4 linked regions of the Bombyx mori genome follow. The protein of the gene in region 3 purifies or fractionates together with the protein of the main gene of each other region. This does not show direct contact. Links are inferred from orthologs where the notes say so. Each region holds a gene or a part of one and is shown on either strand. Other genes may lie near its edges.

The links.
Region 1: the proteins of uncharacterized protein LOC101741314 (region 3) and ribosome biogenesis regulatory protein homolog fractionate together in Homo sapiens (co-fractionation; 3 studies listed by BioGRID and IntAct, with this or other methods). This does not show direct contact. The link is inferred for Bombyx mori from reciprocal best matches to the Homo sapiens genes NOP2 and RRS1.
Region 2: the proteins of uncharacterized protein LOC101741314 (region 3) and 60S ribosome subunit biogenesis protein NIP7 homolog purify together in Homo sapiens (affinity purification with mass spectrometry; 3 studies listed by BioGRID and IntAct, with this or other methods). This does not show direct contact. The link is inferred for Bombyx mori from reciprocal best matches to the Homo sapiens genes NOP2 and NIP7.
Region 4: the proteins of uncharacterized protein LOC101741314 (region 3) and nucleolar protein 56 fractionate together in Homo sapiens (co-fractionation; 3 studies listed by BioGRID and IntAct, with this or other methods). This does not show direct contact. The link is inferred for Bombyx mori from reciprocal best matches to the Homo sapiens genes NOP2 and NOP56.

The regions. Positions count from the first base shown.
Region 1 is NC_085123.1:3,056,522-3,064,438, forward strand, and holds ribosome biogenesis regulatory protein homolog, read left to right. Parts: upstream 1-3,793; 5' UTR 3,794-4,197; coding exon 4,198-4,346; intron 4,347-4,470; coding exon 4,471-4,743; intron 4,744-4,974; coding exon 4,975-5,194; intron 5,195-5,577; coding exon 5,578-5,840; intron 5,841-5,965; coding exon 5,966-6,119; 3' UTR 6,120-6,172; downstream 6,173-7,917. Other genes in the region: DNA excision repair protein ERCC-6, read right to left, coding at 1-2,658. UniProt on the Homo sapiens protein: Involved in ribosomal large subunit assembly. May regulate the localization of the 5S RNP/5S ribonucleoprotein particle to the nucleolus.
Region 2 is NC_085130.1:6,213,631-6,221,797, forward strand, and holds 60S ribosome subunit biogenesis protein NIP7 homolog, read left to right. Parts: upstream 1-3,683; 5' UTR 3,684-3,861; coding exon 3,862-3,917; intron 3,918-5,225; coding exon 5,226-5,518; intron 5,519-6,795; coding exon 6,796-6,989; 3' UTR 6,990-7,006; downstream 7,007-8,167.
Region 3 is NC_085116.1:6,476,397-6,484,341, forward strand, and holds the start of uncharacterized protein LOC101741314, read left to right. Parts: upstream 1-2,920; 5' UTR 2,921-3,076; coding exon 3,077-3,176; intron 3,177-3,887; coding exon 3,888-4,064; intron 4,065-4,635; coding exon 4,636-4,814; intron 4,815-5,157; coding exon 5,158-6,522; intron 6,523-6,823; coding exon 6,824-7,029; intron 7,030-7,575; coding exon 7,576-7,924; 3' UTR 7,925-7,945. UniProt on the Homo sapiens protein: S-adenosyl-L-methionine-dependent methyltransferase that specifically methylates the C(5) position of cytosine 4447 in 28S rRNA. Required for efficient rRNA processing and 60S ribosomal subunit biogenesis.
Region 4 is NC_085132.1:2,378,340-2,384,603, reverse strand, and holds the end of nucleolar protein 56, read left to right. Parts: intron 1-146; coding exon 147-314; intron 315-781; coding exon 782-980; intron 981-1,314; coding exon 1,315-1,578; intron 1,579-1,998; coding exon 1,999-2,153; intron 2,154-2,594; coding exon 2,595-2,765; intron 2,766-3,541; coding exon 3,542-3,765; 3' UTR 3,766-3,861; downstream 3,862-6,264. Other genes in the region: DNA-directed RNA polymerase I subunit RPA2, read right to left, coding at 5,316-5,495, 6,004-6,168. UniProt on the Homo sapiens protein: Involved in the early to middle stages of 60S ribosomal subunit biogenesis. Required for the biogenesis of box C/D snoRNAs such U3, U8 and U14 snoRNAs. Part of the small subunit (SSU) processome, first precursor of the small eukaryotic ribosomal subunit.

The sequences.
Region 1 (7,917 bases), on a different chromosome or scaffold from region 3:
TAACACATAGTCATCATCATTAGTTTGTTTCTTTACTTCATTTTTACTATAATCCTTTTTCTTTACTTTCTTTACAGTTACTAAATTTTTGAGTCCATCATCAATGGAAGATGATAATCTTCTTTTGCGCTTTATTTTATGTGATTTTTTATGCTTTTGTTTAATATCTTTTACAGTACTTTCATTAGTTTCAAGTTGAGAGTTGTCAATGTTGGTAGGTTTCTCTTCATCTACTTCTTTAATATCTTGTTCATTATCTTCTAGTACACTTTTCAACAATTGTTCTTCATAATCTTTCTTTGCATGCATTTTTACAATATCTAATTCTGACAAAACATCTTCAAAAGCTACATTGGTTATTTTATCATCAACTAAATTAATATCTGGTTCTTCCACTTTAGGTGGACATAATAATTGTTCTCTTTTCTTTTTATATTCTTCACGTGGATCACTTTCCTGTGTTCCCTTCATGGATTCTTTTGATATTTTTTTACTTATTTCTTTTGCTAATCTTTTCATGGCTTCTAACTTTGTTTTAGATGAAATATCCAAGTCATTATCATTCTTATTGGTTTTATTGATAATTTTGGTATGTTTAAAAATTGATGCAGTTTCAGTATCTCCTTCACGGTTAAGCTCTTCAAGAGTGAACAGTCCCTGTAATGTACTGGTGGTTAAAAAATTCTTTTGATTTGGGTCCACAAAAATTTTATTACTCAAGAAATGTTTGAATATCTGCCTCTGATAAATCTTTTCCTCTATAGTCCCAGCTGACAACAATCTATAAACTGTTACATTTCTAGACTGGCCTATCCTCCATGCTCTTTCCTTTGCTTGATCATCTGTTGCAGGATTCCAATCAGGATCATATATTATCACTCTGTCGGCTCCAGTTAAATTTACACCTAAGCCACCTACTCTAGTTGTGGAAAGAAAAACTAAATAATCAGTGTTATCATTAAAAGTTTTAATCAAGTTTTGCCTTTGGCCAACATTAACTGTACCATCCATTTTGAGGTATGTAAAGCCTTGATTTTGTAAATACTGTTCTAACAGACACAGCATTACTCTTGACTGAGAGAATATGAGAGCTCTATGTCCCTGTTTTTTCCATATTTTAAGTAATGAATTAACAACAGTCATTTTTCCAGATCTCTTCCAATGGCCAAATATCTCTTCATCTATCTGTTCTTCATCTTCTTGAGCTTCGTAGAGATAAATATCAGGATGATTGCATATTTTCCTTAGCGTTGACAGAGCCACTAGTAGCCTCGCTCTTAATGGATTTCCAAATTTATTTTCTTTGTCTAAGATGCTTCTCACTGTATTACTCATAAGGTAACCCATATAAAGATCTCTTTGCTCTTGTGTTAAAGAACAGAATAGAACTTGTTCATTCTTTTCTGGGAGTTTGATATGTCCTTGTACCTCAGCCTTAGTTCTCCTCAGCATGTAAGGAGTGATCATATTTTTCAAAGCAATAGCTATTTCCATGGCAGTAGCTTCCTGTATTTCAGTAGCATTAGCATAGCCTCCTTGAGTGATTGGAACTGCAAAGTGTTCTATGAATGCATTGTATGTCCCCAACAAACCTGGCCTCATAAAATCAAATAATGACCACAGTTCCTGCAAACTGTTCTGCATTGGTGAGCCTGTTATTAACAATCTGTGTGGTGTCTGGATTTTTTTTACAATTTTACTTACTTGTGTATCAGGATTACGTATTTTGTGTCCTTCATCCAAAATTAAATAATGCCAACTATAAGCATTAAGTTCTTTATGATACTTTACTATGCCTGCATATGTTACTAACAAGATTCCATGAGCACTGTGTATATCCCTTAATAGTTTATGGTGATTACCAGCATGAGAGCCAGTGTGATGCAGTACAGCTACTCTGAGCAGGGGGCACCAATAATGAAAATGAGATACCCATTGATATATAACTGTTGCAGGTGTGATAATGATACTCGGACCAAGACCACCCCATGATCCTAAATTGGTTTTTGAAAGGGCAGTTAGGAATGCAATGACTTGTATTGTTTTACCAAGTCCCATTTCATCACCTAACAATCCACCAGAATCCACTTGATGCAACTCCCAAAGCCATTTAACACCAGTTCTTTGAAATTTATATAACTGTTTCCAAATATATTTTGGTACTAATAGACCATTCTGGAGTTCATGCATTTCATCGCTATCTTTATTACCATCCAGGATGTACTGTATGTCAGCGGTTAACGTGCATCCTTCATATGTACCGCTTTTCACAGTATTTAATCCTTCACGCCAAACCTCTACCCTTAAATTGTATTGTTTAATATCACCGTCGTCAACAATTCGGTTTATATTCTGTTTGGTACGAGAAGAACACGCAGTAAGCGGAAAATTATGGATACTGTCGTCTTCCTCATCGGAAGGTACAAAATCGATGTCATCGAGGTGTCCTTCAGTTGAAGTCCCTGATGTCACAGTAGTTTTTACATCTACTTTTTGATTGTGGGGAAATTTTGACAGAGTCTTTGCCTGTTTTTGCGATATGTAATCAGCAGCAGATTTGCTTTTAGTTGATACATCTTCTTTCTGACTATTTTTCCTCTCAATTTGCTTTTTCGCTAATTCAAGTTGCATTTCTAAATATTTGTTTATGTCCACCATTTGGGTTAGTTTTAGTTCTTGACATTGAAATTCAGTTTATTTAGGTAATGTATTTATTGCTTTTTGTACACAATAATAAACTAAACTCAAATATTAAGTGTTTAATCTTTAATTTAACAAGTTAATCTTACTTAATCTTAAGTTAACAAATCCTACGAGCATTAGAATAATTAAAACATTTATTTTAATTGAAAATGTCAGTTAAGCGATATTTTTCTTTTTTTAGAGTTTATAATGCTACGCTAGTTACGCTACAATTTAAGTGTATAATCTATGGCTACAATCATAGAGCTAGAGTTGAACTTATTAACTCCATGGCTAATATGGCTATAGTACGGTATTCCTTCCTACTCTGCGTCAAGTCGGCTCTACACTCGCGGCGCGAACGCGACAACTGCGAATTCACGAGTGTAGATGTTGTTCACGCCTTCTCGTTCGCGCGTCGCTCCCCGATCTGTGTCGGTTTTATGGCCCGCGACAAAGGGTTTGCGGCACGCGAACGTGAATGTATCCACACTCGCAGCTTACCGCAGTAGCGTACAGGACATCGTAGAGTGGTTATGCGTGCGTTGGTGATTGATCCTAATATAAATGGTGGAATAATGATCTGGAACTGACTCTCATTTATTGCCATAAACCTAAGCCGAAACATCAAGACCACAAAAATGAGAATAAGGTTCATGATGCCTGGACACGCATAAGTGCTATCTTAAATACACCTGTAACTGAGTCAGAGTTAAAGAAAAATAAAGAATCACTTAAGTCGAGCTATAGATTGTATAGAAAGAAAGTGAAGTGTATGTAGAATACACAGCAGCAGCAGAAATCACGTCGTCGTCGATCATAATCGCGAACAAGGCTGAGCTGTGAAGCTTTGTGAGTGTGGAGGGACACAGTTCTGGCGCAGATCATGGTGTTTCTTCACAGTGCGACGTCATACGCGAGTGTTGAGGCAGAGTTACAGATTATTAAAAAGTTACTATGTAACGTTTATGTTTATGTCTTATCTATCATTAAACCTTGGTAGAGGGCTATGCATAATACATTTCGTTTATACTTTATATCACTATACCTGTTCCTGTTTGGACATGCTCCATAATCTTCATTTATTAACTCGCTGGTGATACAAAGGGAACGAAGCCCCTACACCTTTTAGTTACTGTACAGTACAGTGATGCGCGGTAATAGAACTGAATACATAAATATTTATAGATTATAAAATAAAAATGAACTTGAGTTCCATCGTTTCAATATATATGTATGTACATAAAAATTCTAAAATAATTATTCTACGTGCATAGATTATCTACTACAATAAGCTACCAATATGATGACATGTGTTAAATATTTATTATCTATGCCAGAGTTCAAAACGTGGTTGCCCAGAAAACTACGAAATCATAAATATATGTAATTAAATTGTAAAAAAAAAATACATTTTGAGGTTATTTTTCAACAAAAGTAAAGCAAGGAAAATATTAGCTCAAGTCAAATAAGCTTGTTAATTCTAATGTGTAAAAAGGAAGTGTTCTGATAACAATGGATATTGTAAATGAGATATTAGAAAGGGAACAAAAGAAAGCAGATAAATATAAACCAATAACGGTCGAAAAACATTTGGAATTAGAATTCGACCTAGGTTCACTATTGGCCTCTGACACAAACGATTTGGACATAAAAACGCTGAAGTAAGTCTTCATCTTATCTCATTTTAGCAAACGCATAGTCACTATTAATTTCAGGATTAAACATAAATTTAGTTAACAGCACATGTTTTGTTATCAAATTAAATTGATTTTATGTGTTGTTTAGGACAAACAAAGATTCATATTTACTTGCATTGACCCGTGACAATGCTCAGCTACTACTGAATAAAGTATGGGAGCTTCCCACTGAAAGAATCGAAGAGGCCATAGTAGTTCGATTGCCACAACCTACGACAATCCTACCCCGAGCCAAGCCAGTGCCTGTACCTAAGCCATTAACTAAATGGCAAGAGTTCGCAAAAGCCAAGGGTATTAATAAGAAAAAGAAAGACAAACTTCAATGGGATGAACAGCTGCAGAAATGGGTTCCTTTATATGGGTGAGTTTTCAATAGTAGAATAATGAAAGTTGTCTAGAAAACTATAAACACAAACCATAAAAACCTTATTTACAAAAGTTTTTAGGCAGAAATTAAAAATTGATATCATCATTTTAAAATCTGTATTTTATAGTCAAACCAATAGCCAGGATGTTGTAAAACACATTGTCCGTTTATTATTGTCGGCAATCAACTATATCTATAATTGACTATATAATTCTGTATCATCAGTTTCAAGAAAACTGCAGCTGAAAAAGAGAAGAACTGGCTTATAGAAGTCCCACAGAATTTAGATCCTATGACAGATATGTATGAAAAGAAAGCCGGTGAAAAATCAGAAAAGGTTGCAAAGAATGAATTACAGAGACTTAAGAATCTCGCTAGAGCCAAAAAGGTTAAAATACCAAGGGTGGGGCTTCCTGTCACTTCAGATAAAGCTTCTGCCACACAGGTAGGATCAAGTAGAAAAATATATATTGTACTGAATTATAATTTTTCCTTTTTCAGTTTCAAATTAGACATCTTATACAATGATAATAGTATACTTTAATAAATACATGTCTAATTCAATGAAAGGACAATTTTCCTTTTTCTATTCTAGATGATCTCAAAGTAGCATACCTGATCTTTCTTACAGCCAAGCAGCATTTGCTGTTTGTAATTAAGTTAGAATTAGATATACTACAACTTTTTAACTGTTGCAATTTTATTGCTAAACTATTACATTCATCTTGTTTTGCTTATCCATTACATTATTGTTTAAAGATAATAATTTAAATGATTTTATAAATATATGAATGCATAAATCTACAATTATTTTTCATAATTTTCCAGTTATCCACAGCAGCAAGTGTAGCAAAAGCATCAACGGCTTCTCTTGGAAAATTCCAAGATAAATTACCCAAAGAGAAAGAAGCACGCGGTAAAGGTGTACATGAGCTAATCCCAGGCAAGGAGAGGAAACGTAAAGCACCTATACCAACACCGGCAGCAGAAAAAGAATACAACCTGAATCTACTTGATAATATACTGAGTAAGAGGCCAAAAATTGATATGGATAAAGCTGTAGCGAAAAGTATAAATGAAGAGGAAGTCAAGTAAGTAAATTATTTTTATTTTATTGTAAATTTGAAAATGATATAATCAGAATTTTTTTTTTAAAGTTTTTATTTTATTACTTCGAAGTAAATGAGCTGATTTCTATTGTTTGTATTATCATTAGGAGATCACACGAAAAGAAAAATATGAAACCCGGCTTAGGAAAACGTAAAACTCAAGGTAAAGGCAATGCAACAAATTTCTCAGCCAAGAAACCTAAAGCAGGAAAGGGAAAAAGGGCACCAAATAAGAAATCTACTGGACGGAAAAGGAGATAGAACTATGATATAAGCCTTACAGAATGTATTACTAATAAAAACTAAAATACTGACACTTGTTTTTTTGTTTTCCTTAACTATTAATAAAACCCTTAAAAATGAGGCGTTCATTGTTTTAAATCGAAAAATATGTTTGGTTTTGAACGTAACAAGAGTGAAGTCGTCGTGGCCTAAAAGAACAAGGTGTCTCCAATACTCTCGTATCGAGTGATTCTCGTCGAAACTGTCGCTTGCGGCGCAGGGCTAGGCGAGTAAATTAACCCACAGACACAAGTCACAGAGTTTCTCGTCGGATCTTTTCGCGTCGCGGGTCGTTTCCGGGTCGCGTTTCCGATCCGGCGGTAGGTTCTGCGAAGCACTGTTCTGCACTGAGTGATGCGACTATGCCAGTGTTCGAGTCCCGCAGGCATGTACAAATTTTTCTGATGAAATAGTTACGTACTAACCTAACAAATGTTCATGAATGCTTCACGATGAAGGAATATCATCGTGTAATAAAAATGAAACCAGTTTGTGTAATTACTGGTGTGAGGCCGTCTTGTAAGCCCGCACGGGTAGGTATCACCATCCTACCTTGGTTTGGAAGGTAGGGTAGCCGTTGTACTTAAAAATTGAGACTTCGAATACATGTCCAAGGTGGGTGACCGCATTTACATGCGTAATGTCTATGAGCTCCGGTGACCACTTAACACCGGGTGGGCCGTGAGTCCATCCATCCAACTTAGCAATAAAAGAAATTAAAAAAAAGCCAATTTCGAGGTATCTACTATACTAATATTATAAAGCTGAAGAGTTTGTTTGTTTGTTTGAACGCGCTAATCTCAGGAACTACTAGTCCGATTTGATAAATTATTTCAGTGTCAGATAGCCCATTTATTGAGGAAGGCTATAGGCTATACGCTAAGACCAATACAAACGGAATACCAATAAAGAATGTTTCTAAATCGTTTTTTTCTTTCTACGTAAATGAAGTCGCAGGTAAAATTTCGATGCCTCCAATGAACACTACGCTAACTCTAAATTCATAGATTTACAGGAGGAGCGTTTAAACGAAAAAAGTCGATAAAATCTTTATTATTGCAGATATATTTATGGTTTTTTTGTGTAACTAGCTGATTTACTCTTGCTTCGAACCCCATCAATAATGATTAATTGTAATACTTTTAAAATAGTGAAGCGATTTGCGTGAAAAACGAAAATTTCAAAATTTTCAGTTAGAGTAGTGTTCATTGGAGGCATCGAATTTTAGCGTTGTGGCAAAGTAACTATTCCACGCGGACGAAGTCGCGGACAAAAGCTAGTTTGGTATGAAATTCATTAATATAGAAAGAGTCAGGATATTGTTTTTATTTCTCTAGACAGTTTCGAAGACTATCCGACTTAGTTTTAGGCCAATACTGGAGCCCGCACTCTACACAACTTCAACTATCGGTCTTGAGCCGTAAATCCGTAATTCAATCTGTCATCTACATTACTTTACTGGCATGTAACTAAATTTAATTATAATCTAACAAAGACAGCACCTCCAAAATTACCTTGTTTGGCCAACCATACACATTTAATAAAATAAAAGTCTGTATTTTTTCTATTGCTTTAATTACATTTGTTTCTATGGAATTTGACTAGACACTAACGAAGAATTAAAAATCTTCACAATCAACATTTAGAAGGAGAAGGTAAAATTTGTAATACTGTAAATCAGTTTATAACCTACATAATTCGTCGTTAAGCGTACCTACTTATCTACATCAAATTCTAATTATAATAAAGTTTATTAATGGAAGCTTCTAATGTTTAG
Region 2 (8,167 bases), on a different chromosome or scaffold from region 3:
TAAAAGGAAACAGATTTTGAAATTTTTAGTCTGTGTCGAATCGCGGGAGTGAGTTGTCGTGTCTGTGTTTCGATAATTTTAATACTTTTAGTGAGTGTATTTACGTTGTGTTTTGTTATTTATAAGGTAAGTTATCTACTAATACATAGAAATAAAGGTTTCAGCATGAGACACAAAATTTAGCCTTTTTAAACCGATACATTTGGTGGTACATTTTGGCGTTAGTGACGCCATAATTTTACTCTCATTTTTTGTTATTTTTTGCCTGTTTTATCATACTAAATGCGATTAATATGTTAGATCAACTAATTGTATGTAGTTATTGAAGGTAGCGAAGTTAAAGTTGTAGAATCGTTTATTGACTTTGTAGAAACTAAAGGAAAAACTGCTGTTGAAATCACAGATATGATTTTAACGAAATTAGAAAATGACGGTTTAGATATAAAAAATTGCAGAGGACAGGCTTACGATAATGCTGCCGTCATGGCAGGAAAGCACAGCGGTGTTCAAACTCGTATTAAAGAAATAAATCCAAATGCAGAATTTGTAGCATGTACAAATCATTCCTTAAACCTGGCATGTTTGCACGCAGCTTCTACAGCTATCAATTCCATCACATTTTTTGGAACTATCGAACAGTTGTTTTCGTTGTTTTCTTCTTCCACTCATAGATGGAATGTTTTACTTTCGGTCACTGGAGCGCTAGAGCTGCAGCGGTAACTATAGTAAAAAAACATTTTTTTTACATTTTAAGCGCTTTGGAAAAATTGACATCTGAAGCAAGGGCGGATCCAGCTTTGGCGCCAGGAGGGGGTCACATAGTCAAATTTAGATGCGTTCGTTCCCAAACGTTTTCCATTATACAAAGTTATTATATTATAATAAATTAATTAAATATTGAAGGTATGTAGTTACATAAAATATGTATGGTGACAAAATATATATGTCGGCACACGTCAGGGATGGCTGAGCGGTAGGTTCCGTCATCACTCGTATTCGATTGAACTCAGTTTAGTCAATAAAACTTTTCAATAATAATTATTGAAACTCAACACACACAAGTTTCACAATGACAGGATAAACCGACAGTTTCGTTGCACATACCGACAGACCGACTGACTGACTGACTGACTGTCAGAGACTCACTGCTGAGACGGACGGAATCACTGTCTGACACGAATGCCACGACTCTGTCCACGTACCGCTATTTTATACTGTGGCGTTACGGTGTCTACCCTTCATTTTGTGATATTTATCAAAACAACATTTCATCATTTAAAATAATAATCAAAACCACCGTCTTAACATTACTAAAAGTCGTTATCCACGACAACTAAAAGTCGTTATCCACGACATATAAATAAAATCATTATATTCAATTAGTGGTCCACCTAAGTCCTGGACCCAGCTCAGGGGGTGGTCATGACCCCCATGACCCTCCCCCTGGATCCGCCATTGATCTGAAGAAGAAAATAGTAAAACGCGATCAGATGCTGGAGTATTACTCAATTCTATGCAATCTTTTTCTTTTCTATGTTACCTTCATTTATGGGAATCCGTTCTTTTGGAAATTAATGACGCTCAAAAATACCTGCAAATAAAGGGGTTAAATGTCCACCAATGCCATATAAAACTAAATTCTTTGCAAACACATTTAATGGAACAAAGAGATACGCTAGTACAAAACGCTGTTATAGCTGCCAAAATAATTTGTGAAGAGATGGAAATATCGACAGAGCGTCGAGTTAGAAGGAGAAAAAATATGAGTGGGGAAAATTCTCAAGACGTGGGGCTATCCTTAGAAGAAGAAGTACGAAGAGAAATGTTTTCATCTATGGACAGAATTATAAAGGAAATAAAAGAACGCTTCGATCAATTGCATGGTCTTGTAAGAAAATATTCGTGTATAATACCGTGTAACCTACTAAATGAAGAATTTGAATGTCAAATAAATGATTTGATCGACATTGATAAAGAACAGTTCCATATTGAAAGAAAAAGGATCCAGGTTTTTATGGCTGTATCTACACTAAAAGAAGAGGTAAAACATTGGAAAAACGGGGAGAAGGGCCCTCTCGACCTGCTAAAATTTATTCAGCAGTATAGGTTGGAAAATTCTGTTCCCAATATTGTAATTTTGTTAAGATTTTTCTTAACAATTTGAATCAGTGTCGCTAGTTGCGAAAGAAGCTTCTCAAAATTGAAGTTGATAAAAAATTATCTTCGTTCTACAATGAGTCAATCAAGACTACAAAATCTTGCAATATTGTCAATAGAACAAGAAATTACAAATAATATAAATTTTGAGAGCATTATACACGATTTTTCTAGTATGAAAGCTAGAAGAGTAGATATTATATAAATATGTTTACGAGTGCATACAAATAAGTCTAAAAAATTTACTCTGTGGATTAATTAATATTGATTAAATAACTTAATAATTTATTTATGTGCATTAATTTATAAAAACCACTATTTGATTGACTTATAATAGAAAGGGCGGCAGACTGGAGATCGCCCCGGGCGGCAAAAGTTCTAGGTACGCCACTGTGTACAACACCTACTTTATGGCTACCGAAAAGTTTATGCTTAAAAAGGTTACATATAATCTTACTCTATGGTTTATGCGAAGGATCCTGAGTTGTGTGGAGTATTATTTTCTATAGATGTACATACTTGTCAGTGTAAAACAAAGGTAGATAACGCGAATGAAAATAATAAACTCGTAATTTGAATCACAAATGGCGAATTTGTAAAGCAAGCGCGTCACAAGTATCCTCAGAGTGCGTAGACCTGTGCGTCTCTGATTTTAATTAATTTAAAACAGATGACTTCTTGTGATGTGATTCATCTTAATATGCCTTTCGCGGTATGTAAATAGCAAACAAAGGGAATCATATATTTCATTTGTTTTATTTTATATTCGAATACCTTAAATGTATATTTAAATTTAAAAAAATCATAATCGCACATTTATAATAACTTGTAGGAGTGTATGTACATAAGTTATCACCACAGCCGGTCTTGATTTCATACTTAAAGTTTATATAATTCATAACAAACTTTTAAAAGTTTAAGAGAGTCTGCATAGTTATTTATCTATTTACCATTTACTGCTTGCTTGGTATATTTAAAAATTTAAACGAATCAGAAAGATAATAAAGGATATGTACATATTTACAAAAAATACTTTTGACACTAAATTTTGTTTTTATCACGTGTTATTCGCTCACTCATTTATTTCATGGTCATTCAATGAAAACAGATGTTGAATGAAAAGTTAACTCGCCACCAATTTGTAAGCACTTAAAAGTGCTAAAAAACTATTTTAAGCAGTTATTTTTTCGAAAAGTAGCATACATTACTGAACTCGTAACTGTAATGAAATAAAAGTAACTACTCACCGAAACTTCCCACACACCGCTTCTCTATGAGAGCATAAGGAATGAATCACAGGAATGAATTGTAGTGACAAAGGCGCACTGAGTGAGATTATTTTGATGATCTCTGAATAATTTCGTTCAGAAATTCCAACATAAAGTATTTTAAACTTGTTTTTTTTTAAATACCCTATGATAGAAAGTCGCTTTGAGATTACGTTTCTTATTGACAATAAATGAAATTATCTTTTTCGAGTAAGATATTTTTTTGTGAGATGTATTTAAATAGTTTGGTCGAGGGGTATGTATAGGAGTCCATTTTCTACTTGTTGATCTCATTCGTTCATTACTGTCAAATTTATCATTTGACACTTCTGAATTGAATATCTAACCGTACTGTCAAAACTAGGATGGTTGATGTTTTTGGTAACGTTTAACTCACGTGTTTTTATTTTTAGAGAATATAATAAAATAATTGAAAATGAAAGTATTATCAGAAGATCGTACAAGAATATTATTCGAGAAGCTAACCAAATAGTGAGTATTTCTGAATATTCTTAGTAGAAATTTGGGCTACACAGCCACATTGTATTTATAAAACAACATATTTCTAACCACAATTTTTATTTATTTCTCGCATCGCTGGTCATGATTCCGATCTGATGGAAGATTCAGCAAAGCATTGTTCTTGCTGGGGCTAGAGTTGACAATTTTTTTGGGTTGAGCCTGTCAGCTCACCCACCCATTCACGTGTAGTTGGAATAGCCCAGTGGTCTACCAACGATTAGGTAAAGAATAAAAATAAAAAATATTAATAGTAATAAATATGGAGTATTTATTAGTTCTATAATTAATAAATAATAAACTACTTATTTATTATCAATTACCAAAATAAAGAGTACATACTTACTGAGTGTAAGGTGATTTTTGAGCCAGTAGAGGTAGGCACCTCCACCTCCACCTCCTGGCTATTATGATGCAAAGCAGCTATGCGTTCCATCAGTATACTAAATAATTGGAACTCAAGTCTCAAGGTGGGTTGCAGATTCACATGTCTATGGGCTTACCACTGAAACCCTAGTGAGTTCTTGTTTACTCATTTAAGTAAATAGAAAAATAAAGACATATACAAAGCCACATGTCAAAGTTGACATTTTCTTTTATTACATTTATGTCATACTTTATCTTCACACCTTCGTACCTTAATATGTAAGAAAGTTTTTTTTCTTAATTATCTTGTAGTTTACTGAATAGTCTAATTTGTTTAAGCTTTTTTTATTTATTTCTTAGATGGGTGGACGAGCTCACAGCCCACCTGGTGTTAAGTGGTTACTGGAGCCCATAGACATCTACAACGTAAATGCGCCACCCACCTTGAGATATAAGTTCTAAGGTCTCAGTATAGTTACAACGGCTACCCCACCCTTCAAACCGAAACGCATTACTGCTTCACGGCAGAAATAGGCAGGGCGGTGGTACCTACCCGTGCGGACTCACAATAGGTCCTACCACCAGTGATTACCGTGGAAGTCAATCGTGAACATTTGTTAAGTACGTATTTCATTCGAAAAATTGGTACCCGCCTGCGGGATTCGAACACCGGTGCATCACAACAACGAATGCACCGAACGCCTTATCCTTTAGGCCACGACGACGACAAGCCGTCGTCGCGCACGTAGTATACTAGTTTCAACACACTACTGTATTGTTTTGAAAGAATTTGGTTGAAAAATCCTCCATTTTTGACATGTTGCTGTGTATATAGGGTATATCGATAAGGCAACTTAACAATAGAAAAAGGTTTCAAAATAATTCTTTGATTCTAATTTAAACATTTGATTTTAGCATTGGAGTAAACGTTAAGTTATTAATAGACAGACCTGATGGCACATATTGCTTCAGAGAGAAGAAAGACAGAGTGTATTACATATCAGAGAAGCTACTGCATCTAGCACAGACAGTGAAGCCGGACAACTTAGTATCTGCGGGGACATGCTTCGGAAAGTTCACAAAGACAAATAAATTTAGGTTGCACATTACAGCTTTGACTTACATATCACCCTATGCGCCGTTCAAAGTGTGGGTGAAGCCGTCTGCGGAACAACAGTTCTTGTATGGACACCACATCATCAAAAGTGGTTAGTATTATAAGTTTTCTTCATAAGGGCTAGGATAACATAGATTAAACCTTCAACAGTGCAGTAACCGGATTGTGGAGGGACCAACTGTCATTTTAATTGTTTTAATTATTCAACTAACATGCTCCTTGTGTACTTAGAAATAGATTTAAAAATGCAGTGTATTAGTGAGGGTACTTGTTTTCCTTTTAATAAAAGGATTGCTAAGTGCGGGTTGCATAAAGACAGACACACAATAAACTGATTTGTTACCGAACACATGTGCTTAAGTTCATTATTAAATAATAAAGTATATATTTTACATAACCTAATAACTTAATTTTTTGTAGTAAAAATTATATAAGAAAAAATTTACAATGAATTGAAATTTTTTTAGGACTAGGCTGGTTGAGATTACTTTATTTCATGCTTAAAAAATACAATAGACATTTTCCTTGAAAGAGATAGCATCAATAAAAAATAATGCTATTACTAAATCTTACATTGAGGAAATGGATAACGTATTCAACGCAATAAACCAAGCAAACTAAAAATCTGGATGAGTGGGGTTAATACCGATAGGAGCTAAGTGGTTACCAAAGTTCATAGACATAGGTTCATCTTCAAACTGGAATGCATAATTGCATTGCGGCAGATATAGGCAGTCTGGTGATATTTATCTTTGCTAGGTTACAATATGCTGTACCACTGGAAAATTAAGGTTTGCAGTTGCTGTGTCATTTTATAATACTCAGAAAACCCTACTGCCCCCCCCCGCTCTCTTGTGTAGTCCTTAGTTAGCATTTATGATTCATAGCAAGAGATCAGAGGTGAGAAGGCAGATATAACACATTAATAAACAATTATTGGATATATATGACATCATCATTTCTCAGAGAGAATATTGTTAGGAATGTTTGATATGATTAAAGATTGAATATATTACACAAAGATAGTAATCTATACTAATATATAAATCTATATTGTTTTTTACGGATGTTCCGTTATAACTACTGAACCATGCATCTGATTTACTTGAAACTTGGTATCAATGTAGAAAATACATGTACTTAATGGATAGGCTAATATTTATATGAGTGTTAGACTCGCTACACCAGTTGCGGGGGCGTTAATGATGAGAAACTGTGGGGGGCGAGAAATAATAATGTTAATTTTAAATGCCCAGCGAAGCGGACGGGTACAACTATTTGTATAATAATACTATTAGTTAGCATTGTTATCGGTATCCATATTCTTCAATCAACAGTTCAGTATAAAGGATATTGTTTTATTTCCAGGCTTGGGCCGGATAACAGAAAATACACCGAAACATCAAGGTGTGGTGGTATTAACGATGTCAGATATTCCGATTGGCTTTGGCGTAGCTTCAAGAACGACGGCAGAATGTCGACACGCTGATCCTTTGGCGACGATTGTCTTCCACCAGGCCGACGTAGGAGAATATATACGCTCTGAGGATACGCTTACGTAGTAAATAATGAAAAGGAATCGGGTTCTTGTTTTATTTACAACAAAAAATGTGACATATGTTTTGTCAGTTAGTTTTATTTATTATAAAGAATATTTCAACCCAGTCATGCTCAAAGCTATTTCTAACTAGCTGACCCGGCAGACTTCGTAATGCCTCAATCGAGAAATAAAAGACCTAAACTTTTGTATAAAATAAACTTAAAACAAACAAAAGGAATCTGTCCGACGGGGGACACGAGAGGGAAAACAAAATTGTTATTTTTATTTAATTTCGAGCATTTTCATATTTATCTACCTTTTAAACCTTCCCTGGACTTCCACAAATAATTCTCTCGAGTTCTAGCGAGACTAACGAACAGCAATTCATTTTTAAATATTTTATAGATAGATTAGTGTGAAAAAGACCGATTGATATTAATCACTCGCCATATATCGTTGTTAAGTGTTATACGACAATCTCTTGGGGTATAATTTAAAAAAACCCCGGTATGTCTACGTGTCGATAGTATTCCTGACAAAAAGTAACTACACGTCTGAAGTTTTATGCATTTGTGAAACTCATCGATTCCCATATCTCATACTTTATCTTAAAATCCACAGTGGATGCCTAAAACAACGTAGATGGCGCCACTGTCAAATTTTCAAGTTTTTAACTTGCGCTGATATTGCATTTTCCTTGTCCTCGGTGTATTTATGATAATTCTTGTTAAATGAGTCGACTATTATCAAAGCCGGCAATGTGACTTTTGGACAATTATTGGTAAATCAGAAAAAACGAATTATTGACTTTGTATTCCATTGGCAGTCACAAAACTCTTCTGAACGACATCTTAGATAAATAACAGGTTAACTATTAACCTTAATTTAATGCAGGTGTTGAACCGTATTCTTTGAAGGAGACGATTATATTCAAATCAATCTGTATTGACATGTCAATAATTTTTTTTTGTCCAAATGCACAGATTGCGGCCTTTGATTATTATCAATTCTATTGACGACTCATTAATAATACGTAGAAACAGTTTAAAATAGTATTATATTTTTTACCAAACTGCCACCTTTTATTGCGCTTTTGAACTAATTTTTATGATTGGAAGTTTACAACCTTAGTTACGTAATTGTGTCCGTTCAATTTTCACGCTTTTGCCGTTCGAAACTAGGTAGCGCGCAAATCAAATC
Region 3 (7,945 bases):
ATCAAACCATATAGCCTAATCTTAACATTTATTTTATGAAAAATGATAATATTAAATGAAATGAAATGAAGTTGATTGATTTGGAACACTAATCAATTGGCATGAAATTAAATGAAATGATATGGGTTGATATATAATCTCAGTAAAATGGTGGTTATTTACTAAGATTTTTTCAGTAGGCTTTTTGAAGGATCCCGAGAAGCTACGCAAATTAATTTGTACGGTGGCTTACTAACTTAAAAAAACTAAATAGACACATTAAAACAAATAAAAAATGTGTGCGTGTACTAGTGTACACACGTAAGAAGTGAAACTTGTTTATGGCCTTATTTTTCGAAAAATGATCTACATGCAACTTTCTAGAAATTGGTTAAATAAAGTTAAATTAGATAAAGTTTAAACAAAAGGATTTTATTATCATAGACATGAATACAAAAAAGTTAAATTAGATAAAGTTTAAACAAAAGGATTTTATTATCATAGACATGAATACAAAACAGATGGCGCGTAACGGAAAAAAGTGACGCGTAACCGAAAAATGTGACGGTAAATTTTTTTCCAACGCCGATAAGGAAGTTTCACTTCAAAAAGTCTCGGCAATCCAATAGTAGTAGTACCTAGTTCCATTTTTCCAACTAGAAAACCGAAACTATCACACCATACAGCCTAAGCTTTGTAAATAGTGTTATATGAAAAATTATATTATCATGGAGCGAAATAAACTGAAGTTCAGTTATCCAATTAATCAATTGGGATGAAATTAAATGAAACAAGTAAAACAGTGGTCATTTACTGAGATTTTTTGAGAGATCCCGAGACGTTAGGTCCTGGGAGTTTGTTACATTTTCTCACTTTGTGCACTTTCATAGATTCTAATTAGTTAATAAACCACTTTTAATATACGTTTAAACAGGAAGAAACACAAAATTAACAAAAAAAAAGTGAGCAGTCACGGGACGCCTGGCAGACGTGAAACATCGACATTATTTGGTAAAATTAATATGCAGAAATGAACAGATTGTGATAGGAACTAAATATGTCATAATGATAAAATAAAATCTATCGAAAAAATAATTTGTTTTCAAGTAAAACACAGGTTATGGGTACTGTAGTAAACAAAACTGTATACACTACGGAGTATACACTATAGATATCTGAGAGAGATGGCTTAACGCCGGATCGAGTGGGAGAGAATCGCACAGTCGATTGCGCATGGCGACGTGTCGCCACGCCAGAAATCGGTTTTACGTGTGGCTATAGATGTTTCACATCAAAATAAAACAGTTCACACAGCTTTACTCCTCGCGTTCCCATCAAAAAGTCCTACCAATGCGATATTACACAAAAAAACAAATAGATAATTTTTGTTTTGTTCATTGCATAGGCGCCATGGGCAAAAGGGCAATTTTTGATGTAACGATCAAAGTTGTGTAGTTTGAAATGTTAAATAAAACTGACTGAAAATAAAATTAAGAAATCAAAGTAAAAGAAAACATTTACCGTAGAATGAGCAGCAATGTCCTCTGTAGGATTTACCATCCAGGATTTACTATTTAGTCCATTTACAATATATAATGATTGAGTTTTTGACTTTCTGTTGCATGTAGCATTTTAACTATGATACGGGTTGGGATTTTGAGTTCCGGTAACTATTGCTTAATGCCCCATATATTAATATGCATTGATAATTATAAACCATAGAAAGAAATATAACGTGTGACTGTGAATGGATAAGTACCGGTAAAATGGGGCGATTAGGGATTGAGAGGCGAATCGGGAAAAAACCGGGAAAATCTTTCGACGCTCAATATAAGTTTTATATTCGTTTCAAAATCTTCCATTTTTTGTAGTTTAATAGTAGAATGTTGAAAGTTCACAAAACAACTCTGAATATGCATGATAATAGCTGCTAACTTATAAAAAATCGCGTTTCAAATTAACTTCCTGTGGTGGTAATTATTTTAGTGCTAGAAACTTTGCTCTCTTTTATTTATTTGATAATAATAGAAGACGACTATGATTTATAAACGTTATTTAGTGTTTGAACCAGCATATATATTAAAAGTAAGTCTCAGTTGTTATTGGTTTTAATGTATTTGATTAAATAAAAATACATGTAAAAATCTGTTGTTTTTGGGGATATTGGGGACGTCTTAGGTACAAATAACAACGAAAAAGGGGTCAATTGGGATGAGAATACGTGAAATGGAAACTACCTAAGTATAAATAGGTACAGGTTTGTAGGGTTGTCTATGTAGTTATAACAATATTTTTTATATTTGTTGGTAAAAATCTGGTTTATTCGAAGCGAAATTGGGAATAAGTCTTTATTTGAAATAGATAAGCAATTTAATATAAGTAAGTTGATTTTGCAGAGACATGTAACAAGATTAATGAAATCTCAAGGTGGACAAAAATGTCTAAGTAATACTTAATAAAATATTTAATATTTGTTCAGAGTGGGGGTATTCATCTGATTAATCCATGGAATAACCGACACACCTAATCTCTTAACCCAGATAGAAATATCAGCACTGTCGATTGCACCAATAATTGAGGTGATGTCTGCCATGTACTTTTGTCAGTTTTTCAATTTTTTTTATTGATGATCACTTTGTTGGTGCAATTAAATAAATAAATAAATTAAAACTATATATAAAAATAAAAGTAGTGCCAACCCTAGCAAATTTCTCATTTCGTCCCAATTAACCGCAATTTTCGGGTAAATAGGGATTACACCTATTTTTGCATTTTTTGCTTAAACTGGAATGCTAGTTGCATAATTTTAAATTAGACAACAAAAATGCCCCCAAGACTCAATCATTTTGATCCTGATATAGCATTATATACATCAACAACTACCTTAAAATTGCTCATAAAGTTGGAATTTGTCCCTAATCGCCCCATTTTACGGTAATCTGTAAAAATGACACCAACCCATAGATAATAAATTGAATGTATCAAAGTATCAATCAAAATATAACCTACCAGCACGTGTGAACTTTGCAGTGTTTTTCAAGTAGGTACATAATCAAGTTATTAATAATTAATTGAAGTGGAAAATTAGTTGTCGAAAATGGGTAGAAAAGCGAAATTTGATGAGACGAAAAAAGTGAAAAAAGGTCCTGGAAGGAAAGCAAAAAAACAGCCCGATCCAGTATTTAGAAAGGAGCTATGTGAGTATTCCACATAATCGTTTGTTACAAATCAACACAATCTTAATTTCAAGTTTATTACATTTTTAAAAATAACTAAGAAATTGACATTATTATCCACCACCCCGTTATTTTCTGCCAAAAATTCAAATCTACAATTTGTTCTCGAACTACGAACATTTCAAAATTATAGTTAGTTTAAATGATTAGGCAGTTCCCCAATTTTTACCCTAGCACTGCTTTTAGCATTGTGGATTATTTATTCAATAAATACTGACCATTTATAGTCCACATTGTCACACACATGTTGTATATTTGAGTCGTCTATTATCAAAGGTGGCAATCTGTGCATTTGGACAAAAAAATGTTATTGATATGTCAATACAGATTGATTTGAATATAATGGCTGAGCCTTTGCTCGCCCACCTGTCCTGGTGAAACTGGAAAGGCCTTCGGGCCACCAGTAAACTTTCAATCATGAATATAATCGTCTCCTTCAAAGAATACGGTTCAAAACCTGCATTAAATAAAGGTTAATACTTAACCTGTTATTTATCTAAGATGTCGTTCAGAAGAGTTTTCTGACTGCCAATGGAATACAAAGTCAATAATTCGTTTTTCTGATTTACCAATAATTGTCCAAAAGTCACAATGCCGGCTTTGATAATAGTCGACTCATTTATCACATGTCAACCTTTATATTTTCATAATAGTTTTGTTTTCCTATTTTAGTAGAGACTGAAGATCAGGTGAAAAAACTGACTCACAGGCAAAAGCAAAGGGCCGCAAAACGTGCCAAAAAAAAGGCTGAAATAGTTGAAAAAAGAAAAGCTATAAAACAAGGCAAGAAAAATGAAGCTAAAGAAATTGAGACAAATGACGAAGACATTAAAAAACCAGTTGTAAAAGGTAAAGCTGACCAATTAAAAAAAAAAATACATCTTTTTTTGTTTTTGTTTATTGCATAGATGGCTGGACGAGCTCATAGCCCACCTGGTGTTAATTGGTTACCGAAGCCCATAGACATCTACAACGTAAATGCCACCACCCACCTTGAGATATGAGTTCTAAGGTCTCAGTATAGTTACAAAGGCTACACCCCACCCTTCAAAGCATTTCTTCTTCATGGCAGAAATAGGCAGGGTAGTGGTACCTACCTGTGCGGACTCACAAGAGGTCCTACCATCAGTAAAAGTTCTTGGTTTTCTCAAATTCCTGTTTTTGAATGTTTGGTTGCTTGCTTTTTAAACCTCTATGATCTTATTGTGAGTAATGCAAAGGGTACCAGCTAACCTATGTTATTTTCCCATCTTCTATCTCCAGTTGTAGTATTTTTCCTTTAGTACTCCTTTTCTTTATCTTTGTTCTTTATTATTCTATTGTGTTCTATCATAGCTGTCTGAAGATGACTTCCAACTATAATTCGTGTAGTTAATGCACCCAAATGAAGCAATATAAAATGGTTAATGTAATATTCCAGGTTACTCTGATGACAACAAAGAATGGCTGAAACCAAAACAGAAGGTTAAACAACAGAAAAAACAAAAAGATTCAGACAGTGACATTTGTGATCAAGATGAGGGTTCAGAGATGGAGCAGGACTCTGAAGCTGAAAGTGAGCATGAAGAAGAAACAAAAACTGTCAGTGAAAAGTATAAGGTAAAACTAATCTTACAACTTTCTCCTAAATAGTTAATGAGTGCTATACATTGTAATAATACTGGTGGTAGAACCTTTCATGAGTCCGCACGGGTAGGTACCACCACCCTGCCTACTTCTGTTGTGAAGCAGTAATGTGTTTCGGTTTGAAGGATGGGGCAGCCGTTGTAACTATACTTGAGACCTTAGAATTTATATCTCAAGGTGGGTGGCGCATTTACGTCGTAGATGTCAATGGGCTCCAGTAACCACTTAACACCAGGTGGGCTGTGAGCTTGTCCACGCAATAAAATAAAGTAATGGTTTATCACAGAAGATAATTTGATTTGTTAAACACTTGTAGGTGGGAACTCTTGATGATCTATTCAAAGATTCTGATGAAGAGGAGGCGGATCCAAGTTCAGAAGAAGAAGGATCTGTAAATAGTGGCAATGCAGGATATAATTCTGATTCAAGTGAAGAAGAATCTGATGAGGATGGTGATGATGAGGATATGCTGCCTATTGAAAAAGCAAATGTGAAGCTGAAGAAGAAACAAAAGGAGGAAAAGAAATTGGCAGATGAGGAAATGCAATTGAATATATCAAAACAAGATGTTTTTGCTTTCCCTTCAGAAGAAGAGCTACAGAATCCTACCAGCCTTCAAGATGTACAACAAAGGATCAAAGATGTAGTCTCTGTTTTGACAGAATTTAATAGATTAAAAGAGGAAGGGCGTTCAAGATGTGAATACACAGACTTATTACTTAAAGATCTTTGTACCTATTATAGTTATAATGAGTTTTTGATGGAAGTTCTTATGCAAATATTTCCTGTACAAGAATTAGTGGAGTTTTTGGAAGCAAGTGAGATTGCTAGACCTGTGACGATAAGAACTAACAGTCTCAAAACTAGAAGAAGAGATTTAGCCCAGGCATTGATTAATCGAGGAGTCAATTTGGACCCAGTTGGCAAATGGAGCAAGGTTGGCCTTGTTATTTATAGTTCCACAGTACCTATTGGTGCAACGCCTGAGTATTTAGCTGGTCACTATATATTACAAGGTGCATCAAGTTTTTTACCAGTAATGGCATTAGCCCCTCAAGAAAATGAGAGAATATTAGATATGTGTGCTGCTCCAGGTGGGAAAGCGTCACATATAGCTGCTATAATGAAAAATACTGGTGCCTTATTTGCAAATGATGCAAACAAAGAAAGAACAAAAGCAGTTGTGGGAAATTTCCACAGATTGGGTGTAGTCAATGCTGTTATATGCAATTATGATGGTCGACAATTCCCTGAAGTTATTAAAGGGTTTGACAGGGTATTGCTTGACGCACCATGTACTGGTACTGGGGTAATTGCTAAAGATCCCAGTGTAAAGACTACGAAAGACCAGAAGGACATACAAAGGTGTTTTAATTTGCAGAGGCAGCTATTGTTAGCTGCAATTGATTGTTGTAATGCCAAATCAAGTACGGGCGGGTATATTGTGTACTCCACTTGTTCTATTTTACCTGAAGAAAATGAATGGGTTGTAAATTACGCATTGAAGAGACGAAATGTGAAATTGGTTCCCACAGGCCTTGATTTTGGAACTGAAGGTTTTATGAAATACAGGCATCATAGGTTCCATCCATCATTAAAATTGACTAGAAGATTTTATCCTCACACACATAATATGGATGGATTCTTTGTCGCTAAATTAAAGAAATTCTCCAATGTCATTGTAAGTTTTTTATGAAGTACCATCGTAATAATGACCTACTAAATTAACCTGAATTTGTTTTTTACTCTAAATGGTCTTACAGTCCATCTAATATGAATTTACACTGGGGACTTTGCCAATAAGAAATTGATGTCTCAAAAGAAGGGAAAGCTTTCTATTATTTCTTCTAGAAAGAATCAATTTAAAAGAAATGAGATTTTACAATAGTCTTATCAGTATAGTATAATTGGTGACTCAGTAGTAGTTCAAGAAATAGTTCCATTTTACATATTTAGTGAACTTTATTTTTATTTATTTTTAGCCTGAGGCAGTTATAGATGATGATGATAAGGAAACCGAAGGTGCAGATGAAGAAACAGTTGTCACAAACGAAGGAGATCAGTCTACAGATGCCATTTCTAATAATGTAACTTCCAAGGTCAGTGGCCCCCAGAAAAGAACTTTGGAGCCAGAGTCGAATATAGCTGAGCCACAAACAAAGAAAATGAAAGGTGAAAATGCAAAAAGGTAATTTTCAATTAATGTTTTTTTTTTTTATTGCTTAGATGAGTGGACGAGCCTTGATATATCAGTTCTGAGGTCTCAGTATAGTTACAACGGCTGCCCCGCCCTACAAACCGAAACGCATTACTACTTCACGGCAGAAATAGGCAGGGCGGTGGTACCTACCCGCGCGGACTCACAAGAGGTCCTACCACCAGTAATTACGCAAATTCTAATTTTGCGGGTTTGATTTTTATTACACGATGTTATTCCTTCACCGTGGAAGTCAATCGTGAATATTTGTAGAGTACGTATTTCATTAGAAAAATTGGTACCCGGGCTGGGATTCGAACCCCGGTGCATCGCTCAACACGAATGCACCGGACGACTTTATCGTTAAGGTCACGACGACTTCTTGATGTTAAGGGAAGTGTTGTTTTTAAAGCAGTGTTTATTTATTTATTATAAAATTACAAGTCTGGTATACCAATGTTATATCAGAGAATAGTACGAACTGTGTTAACATTGAATCATAGAAACAACTAGAAAACTTTGTTACCTTATTTTCAGTTCCACTGGAAACGCTGCGGTCAATAAGAAAAATAAAAATAAAAATAAGAAGGGACCTCAGTCACAGAACCTAAACAACTCAAATAGTAGAGTTCAGGGTAAAATGGGCAGTGCAGAAAAATTGCAAAACTCAAGAAAGCAGCAAGAACCCTCACTACATGGTCAAGGAAAGCAACATGAAAAGAAAAATAGTAAACTTGGTAAAAACAGAAAAGTAAATGGTCTGACTGAAAATAAAAATAAAAAGGCAAATGAAAACAAACCTAACAGTTCCAATCCAATGAAGACAACAAATAAAAAGCATAGTAAAATTAATAAAAATCACAGTAAAATCAAAAGAAAGGTTTGATAAACGTTTATGTAAGGATAG
Region 4 (6,264 bases), on a different chromosome or scaffold from region 3:
CACAAGTAATCCTTCCTTCATAAAAAAGTCACATGATTATTTTTCAAATACTAAATATGATTTCTAAGATATAGTCTCCTGGTGAACACTAACACTTCACTACAACTGTAAACTGGAGCAAAAAAAAAAACTCCATTATTTTACAGGTATTCTTCCTGAGGATTTGAATCTATTCCTCGAAGGTGGTCTTCCAAAGAGGAAAAAACGATCAAAATGCACACTCGGTGTACTGGATCCCAAGCTAGGAGCAGCCATCAGCGAGGCCCTGGAAATTCAGTGCACGCATACAGGAGCAGTCCCGGAGATTTTGAGAGGTCTGTTATGACATATACAATGGATATTTTCAATATCATAGAGTTCTTCTTTCATTGTTAAATGAAAAATTGGTATTTAGATGGCTTTGTGGTAAATTTTTTTATTTATTTATTGCTTAGATAGGTGGACGAGCTCACAGCCCACCTGGTGTTAAGTGGTTACTGCAGCCCATAGACATCTACAACGTAAATGCGCCACCCACCTTGAGATATAAGTTCTAAGGTCTCAGTATAGTTACAACGGCTACCCCACCCTTCGAACTGAAACGCATTACTGCTTCACGGCGGAAATAGGCGGGGTGGTGGTACCTACCCGTGCGGACTCACAAGAGGTCTTACCACCAGTGAATCTATGTTTCTTTATCTCACTTTGGATCTTAATCGTATTTGGTGAGGTAATTAATGTCATTTGTCAGAATTAAGACGACAAATGTGAAAATACTAAGTTTTCTTTGTTCTTTAAACAGGCATACGTTATCACTTCCACTCGCTCATCAAAGGCCTTACCCTCAAAGCATGCAGTGTGGCACAGCTTGGTCTTGGCCACTCATACTCACGAGCTCGTGTCAAGTTCAATGTTCACCGAGTGGACAACATGATCATACAATCAATAGCCCTGCTCGATCAACTTGACAAAGATGTTAACACTTTCTCCATGAGAATAAGGTGAGGTTTTTTTTTTTATATTGCATAGATGGATAAACGAGCTCATAGCCCACCTGCATTTAAGTGGTTACTGGAGCCCATACACATCTACAACGTAAATGCGCCACCCACCTCGAGATATAAGTTCTAAGGTCTCAGTATAGTAACAACGGCAACCCCACCCTTCGAACCGAAACGCATTACTGCTTCACGGCGGAAATAGGCGGGGTGGTGGAACCTACCCGTGCGGACTCCCAAGAGTACAAAAATTAGTACCACTAGTACAAAAATATAAAATATTGTGAAAATGTTGTTACTAAATCTTGTAGACTTACTAATTTTGTACTGTTTCTAGAGAATGGTATTCCTATCACTTCCCGGAGCTTGTGTCAATTGTTCCTGAAAATCACCTGTACACAAAATGCGCCGAGTTCATAAAAGATAGGAAGACCCTGTGCGAAGAGTCATTAGAACCGCTCACTGAGATCCTGGGAGACTCCGAGAAGGCGCAGGCTATCATAGATGCCTCGAAAATGTCCATGGGAATGGATATTTCACCAGTTGACTTGATTAACATCCAAATGTTTGCTGGCAGAGTAGTAGCACTCAGCAATTATAGGTTAGTATAATGTTTATTTAAAATTTAAATAGATGCTTAATACTTTGTTTGTTGATTCATGATAGCATATATTTTAAAATCTTATAAGAGTATCATGTGGATAAAAATTTAAAAGAAATTAAAAAGTTACTTGTTCACTATTTTACTCTGTTATGCTATCAATAATTTAAATCTCCTCCTTCTCTTTGCATTGTGTTCCCCAGTGCTGAGGGTTGTGACCTTTACGAAACATTGTTGTTAGAACTATGTTCCTCCATTCTATCCTATCTGCGCAGTGGATAGCGATATTGATGCTGGAGTCCAATGTGGTCTTATTTGATTCGAAATTGTCATTTAATTTCAATCTTAAAAAGGACCTATTGAAAATCTGTTAACATCAAGAAATAACTAATAATTTCAATTAACATTGTGTCCCCACAGAAAACAGATTTCAGAATACCTGCATAGTAAGATGAACTCCGTAGCACCTAATTTGTCTACGTTGGTTGGAGATCAAGTTGGAGCCAGGCTGATCTCCAAGGCTGGCTCCCTGACCAACCTTGCCAAGTATCCCGCATCTACATTGCAGATATTGGGTAAGTTGGTCACATTTTTCAATTTACAAGTCTAGCTGATCATCAACATACAATTTTAAATATACACTGATAACCACAACATAGTATAAAACAAAGTCTGTCCCTATATCCCTATGTATGCTTAAATCTTTAAAACTACGCAACGGATTTTGATGCGTTTTTTCTTAATAGATAAAGTGATTGAAGAGGAAGGTTTATATGTATCATAACATCCATTAAATAGTGGAGAAATCAATAATAAATTACAGTTTCCGAAGCGAAGCGAGGGCGGGTCGCTAGTAATTATAATAAATACAATTTCTCTAATAACCATTACTAAGAATAAATAAGTATAAAATATCAAATATTGAAAATATCTCCAACATGATTTACATTTTTGTTGTATTTCCCCTATTGTAAGATAACAATTTTCTATACAAATGATTTTATTACAAAATTCAGGTGCAGAAAAAGCTCTCTTCCGAGCTCTGAAGACACGTTCGAATACTCCAAAATATGGTCTGCTATACCACTCCACGTTCATTGGACGTGCCGGACTGAAGAACAAAGGTCGGATCAGCAGATATCTGGCCAATAAGTGCTCAATTGCATCCAGGATCGATTGTTTCTCTGGTAATTAAATTTTTCTGACTAGAAAACTTAATTGTCATAAAAGTTTAAACAATGAACGATATTGTTTTACGTTTTTTTTTCTATTAACAGCTTTTCTTGAGCCTTACCACCAAGCCTTCACAAGCAACAAATTTATCTGAAAGATATCTAGGCACACTGTGATCTACCGTCAGTATTGTAAATAACTTGCGGTAATAAGGGTCGTGCTATATTAATTGCTATATCCAGTAACTGTCATAAGTAATTAATTATGGCAGTTTTTAAATGTTCGCTACATTGCCTTACTGAGATTTCATAAACTACCTATATAATTGTATAAAAAAAGGAAAATTTTAAAAATATGTACTTAGATAGATCGATAAAAAGTTAAAAAAGTTTATACATATTTCAATATCGACGCTTGAAAGGCAAACGACTAAGCGACAATAATTGCTTTGTACATAAACGATAGGCAATAACCATATTCGGTGTGCAAAAAATATATATATTTCTATTAAAATCATTTCAATCCTACAGCTAGATTCGTTAAAATAGAATTTTTTTCAGGTATTTCAACTTTAAATTAGCCTACTGTAAAGTTCACGCATTGTCGCTTAGTCACGTTTGCCTTTCAAGCGTCGATATGTATTCTTTATTAAATTCTCAGACAAAATTGTATTTTTTTTATGCGATATAGTAACAGCTCAAAAGCTGGTGGGACCTTTTTCCCATCCATAGAAGAATGATATACATATTTTATTTTGGAAAGACTCAAAATAACTCTTGAAATGTTACAGAAATGCAATCAGCTGTATTTGGTGAAAAACTCCGTCAGCAAGTAGAAGACCGTCTGAAATTCTATGAGACCGGTGATATTCCCAAAAAGAATATTGAAGTGATGAAGGAAGCTATGGACGAAGTTCAGAAGGCTGTTGACGCCGAGGCCAGTGCCAAGAAGAAAAAGAAAAAGAAGAAGAAGAAGTCCGAATTAGACGAGAGTGTGGCCATGGACGAAGATTAGTCGAATAATGTAGAATTTAATTACTATTGGTGTTAAGATATTGTACCTTTAAAAATAAAGTATTTCAGACGGTTTTATGGACCAACAAAACTGCTATCTTGGAGTTATTTCTTTTAACCCTACTTTTAATCAAATACTAAGCGTCGCCCGATGCATCTGTCAATTCCACTTTTAATTTAAGAATTCAATTTGTTATGGCGCATTACCTTGGCCTGTATAAAACATACATAGAGTAAGAATGAGAAATGTCAAAACGAAAGATAGAACCATAGATTATACACTTGATAGAACGTAATACCCACCATATTTTTTAACGTAAAATAGATTAAATACTTAGTACTATACAAACGATGTTTTTTTTTAACAAATCTACATATACTATCTGGCCAATGCTCATTTGTTTTGTGGAATTAGAATCGAGTATCGAGTGATGCGAAAAAAAGTAAAAATAATTATTACCTAATTCGTATCGAGATACAATATGTACCACGAATTCAGTTAAAGAAAATTTAACCGAAGTAGAGATTCGTGAAATAACACTATACTTTGTGCATTATTTTATTTAAAAAGATTATAAATTTTAAACAATTTAGTACTGCACTTTTCTGTATTAGAGATGCGACCATATATTGGGATAAAATAAATCTATAATTAAATAAGATCTAAATATCACAAGTGGAGTCCTCAGAAAGCATACGAGCAGTAATTATTTCATAACATAGCCTTGTATAAAACACAGTTGACTTCGAACTCATGTCTACAACGTCGACATCTATAAGTTCCCTCGACTTGTAGTTTGTGAGTTTGTCTACCCATTAAACTTTATTAAAAACAGAATGGTACATTTAAAAAAACAAATTTAATATTGTTTACTTATCTATTTTAATAAAACTGTTTCCTTTATTTTTTTAAGGGATTTTATGACCTGGTAACTGAGATCTTTAAGTCAAGTCTTCTTTTAATTTATATTCTCAATTTTATGAAAAATGATATTATGGGATGAAATGAAATGAAGATGATTAATTTGAGACATTAATCAACTGGGATGAAATTAAATGAAATGATATGGGATGAAATATAAACTCAGTAAAATGGTGGTCATTTACTAAGATTTTTTCAGTGGACTTTTTGTAGGATCCCGAGAAGTTACGTCCAGCGGCTTTGTTTCATTTTCCCACATTTGTGCACTTTCACACATATTAAACAGTTAATAAACCACCATTATTACACATTTAAACCCGAAGAAACACTAAATAGACAAAATAAAACAAATCACACAACTTCACTCCTCGCGTTCCCGCCAAAAAGTCCCCTGTTTGCTTTAAATGTCATTTGATACATAGATTATATTTCTGTTGCTTACCCTTTTTAAATCTCTTTAGTTAATCTGTATTGGTGAACTTGAAGAAAACTTTTTAATAAAGAGTCTTTATGTTCTTTGTAAATGTAATTTTAAAATGTTTTCTTTGCCCTCAAATATCAGTGCATATTAGGGAATTAGAAGCTCGTTTGAAATAAAACCAGGCAATGTATTTAATTACAATTCGGATTTATTGTTGTATAGTTTTGTCGACGCACTTGAGGCTGCAGTTGACGTGCAACGCCGCGAGTTGCGTCGCGAACAGCTTGTAGACGTGCGGCGCCCGCACCGCGCCCGCCCGCCCCCCGCACGCGCACGCGCCGCCCCCCCGCGCGCCCGCCACGCTGCCGCACGACGTGCACACCGCCATCTGGCGCCGCACACACACACACGCTTAGTACTGACGCTAACACGTCGCATTACAGCACAACTCAAGTACATACTGAGATTAAAACACGCTACACACAAAAAAATATAATTTGCGTAATTACTGGTGGTAGGACCTCTTGTGAGTCCGTGCGGGTAGGTACCACCGGCTAACCTATTTTTGCCGTGAAGCAGTAATGCGTTTCGGTTTGAAGGGTGGGGCAGCCGTTGTGACTATACTGAGACCTTAGAACTATATCTCAAGGTGGGTGGCGCATTTACGTTATAGATGTCTATGGGCTCCGGTAACCACTTAACACCAGGTGGGCTGTGAGCTCGTTCACACAGCCAAACAATAAAAAAAACCCAGCATAGGTAGGAAAAAAAAATCCTACAATCTACGGTATCGTTTTAGAAAGTCATATTTCTTTAAAGGTTAAATTAAAAGTTAAGGTAAAGTAAAGTTAGGTCGGTGAGGTATCGATATGAAGAGCAAGCAGTACGTCACCGACCTCTGTCTCGTCGGAGCAGCGCAGCAGGCGGTCCTGCAGCAGGAAGGCGGCGCCGTGCGACACCAGCGCGTCCCGCTCCATCTCCCCCAGCCGCACGCCGCCCCCGCGCCGCCGCCCCTTCACCGGCTGCCGGGTCAGCGCGTCCACGGGCCCGGTGGTGCGGACCTGTACACACACACCGCCGTATAACAGCCGCCCCACCCTTCAAACCGGGATGTTGTTCCCGACGGCACTAGACGGTCTCTCCATAGAGATTTGTCT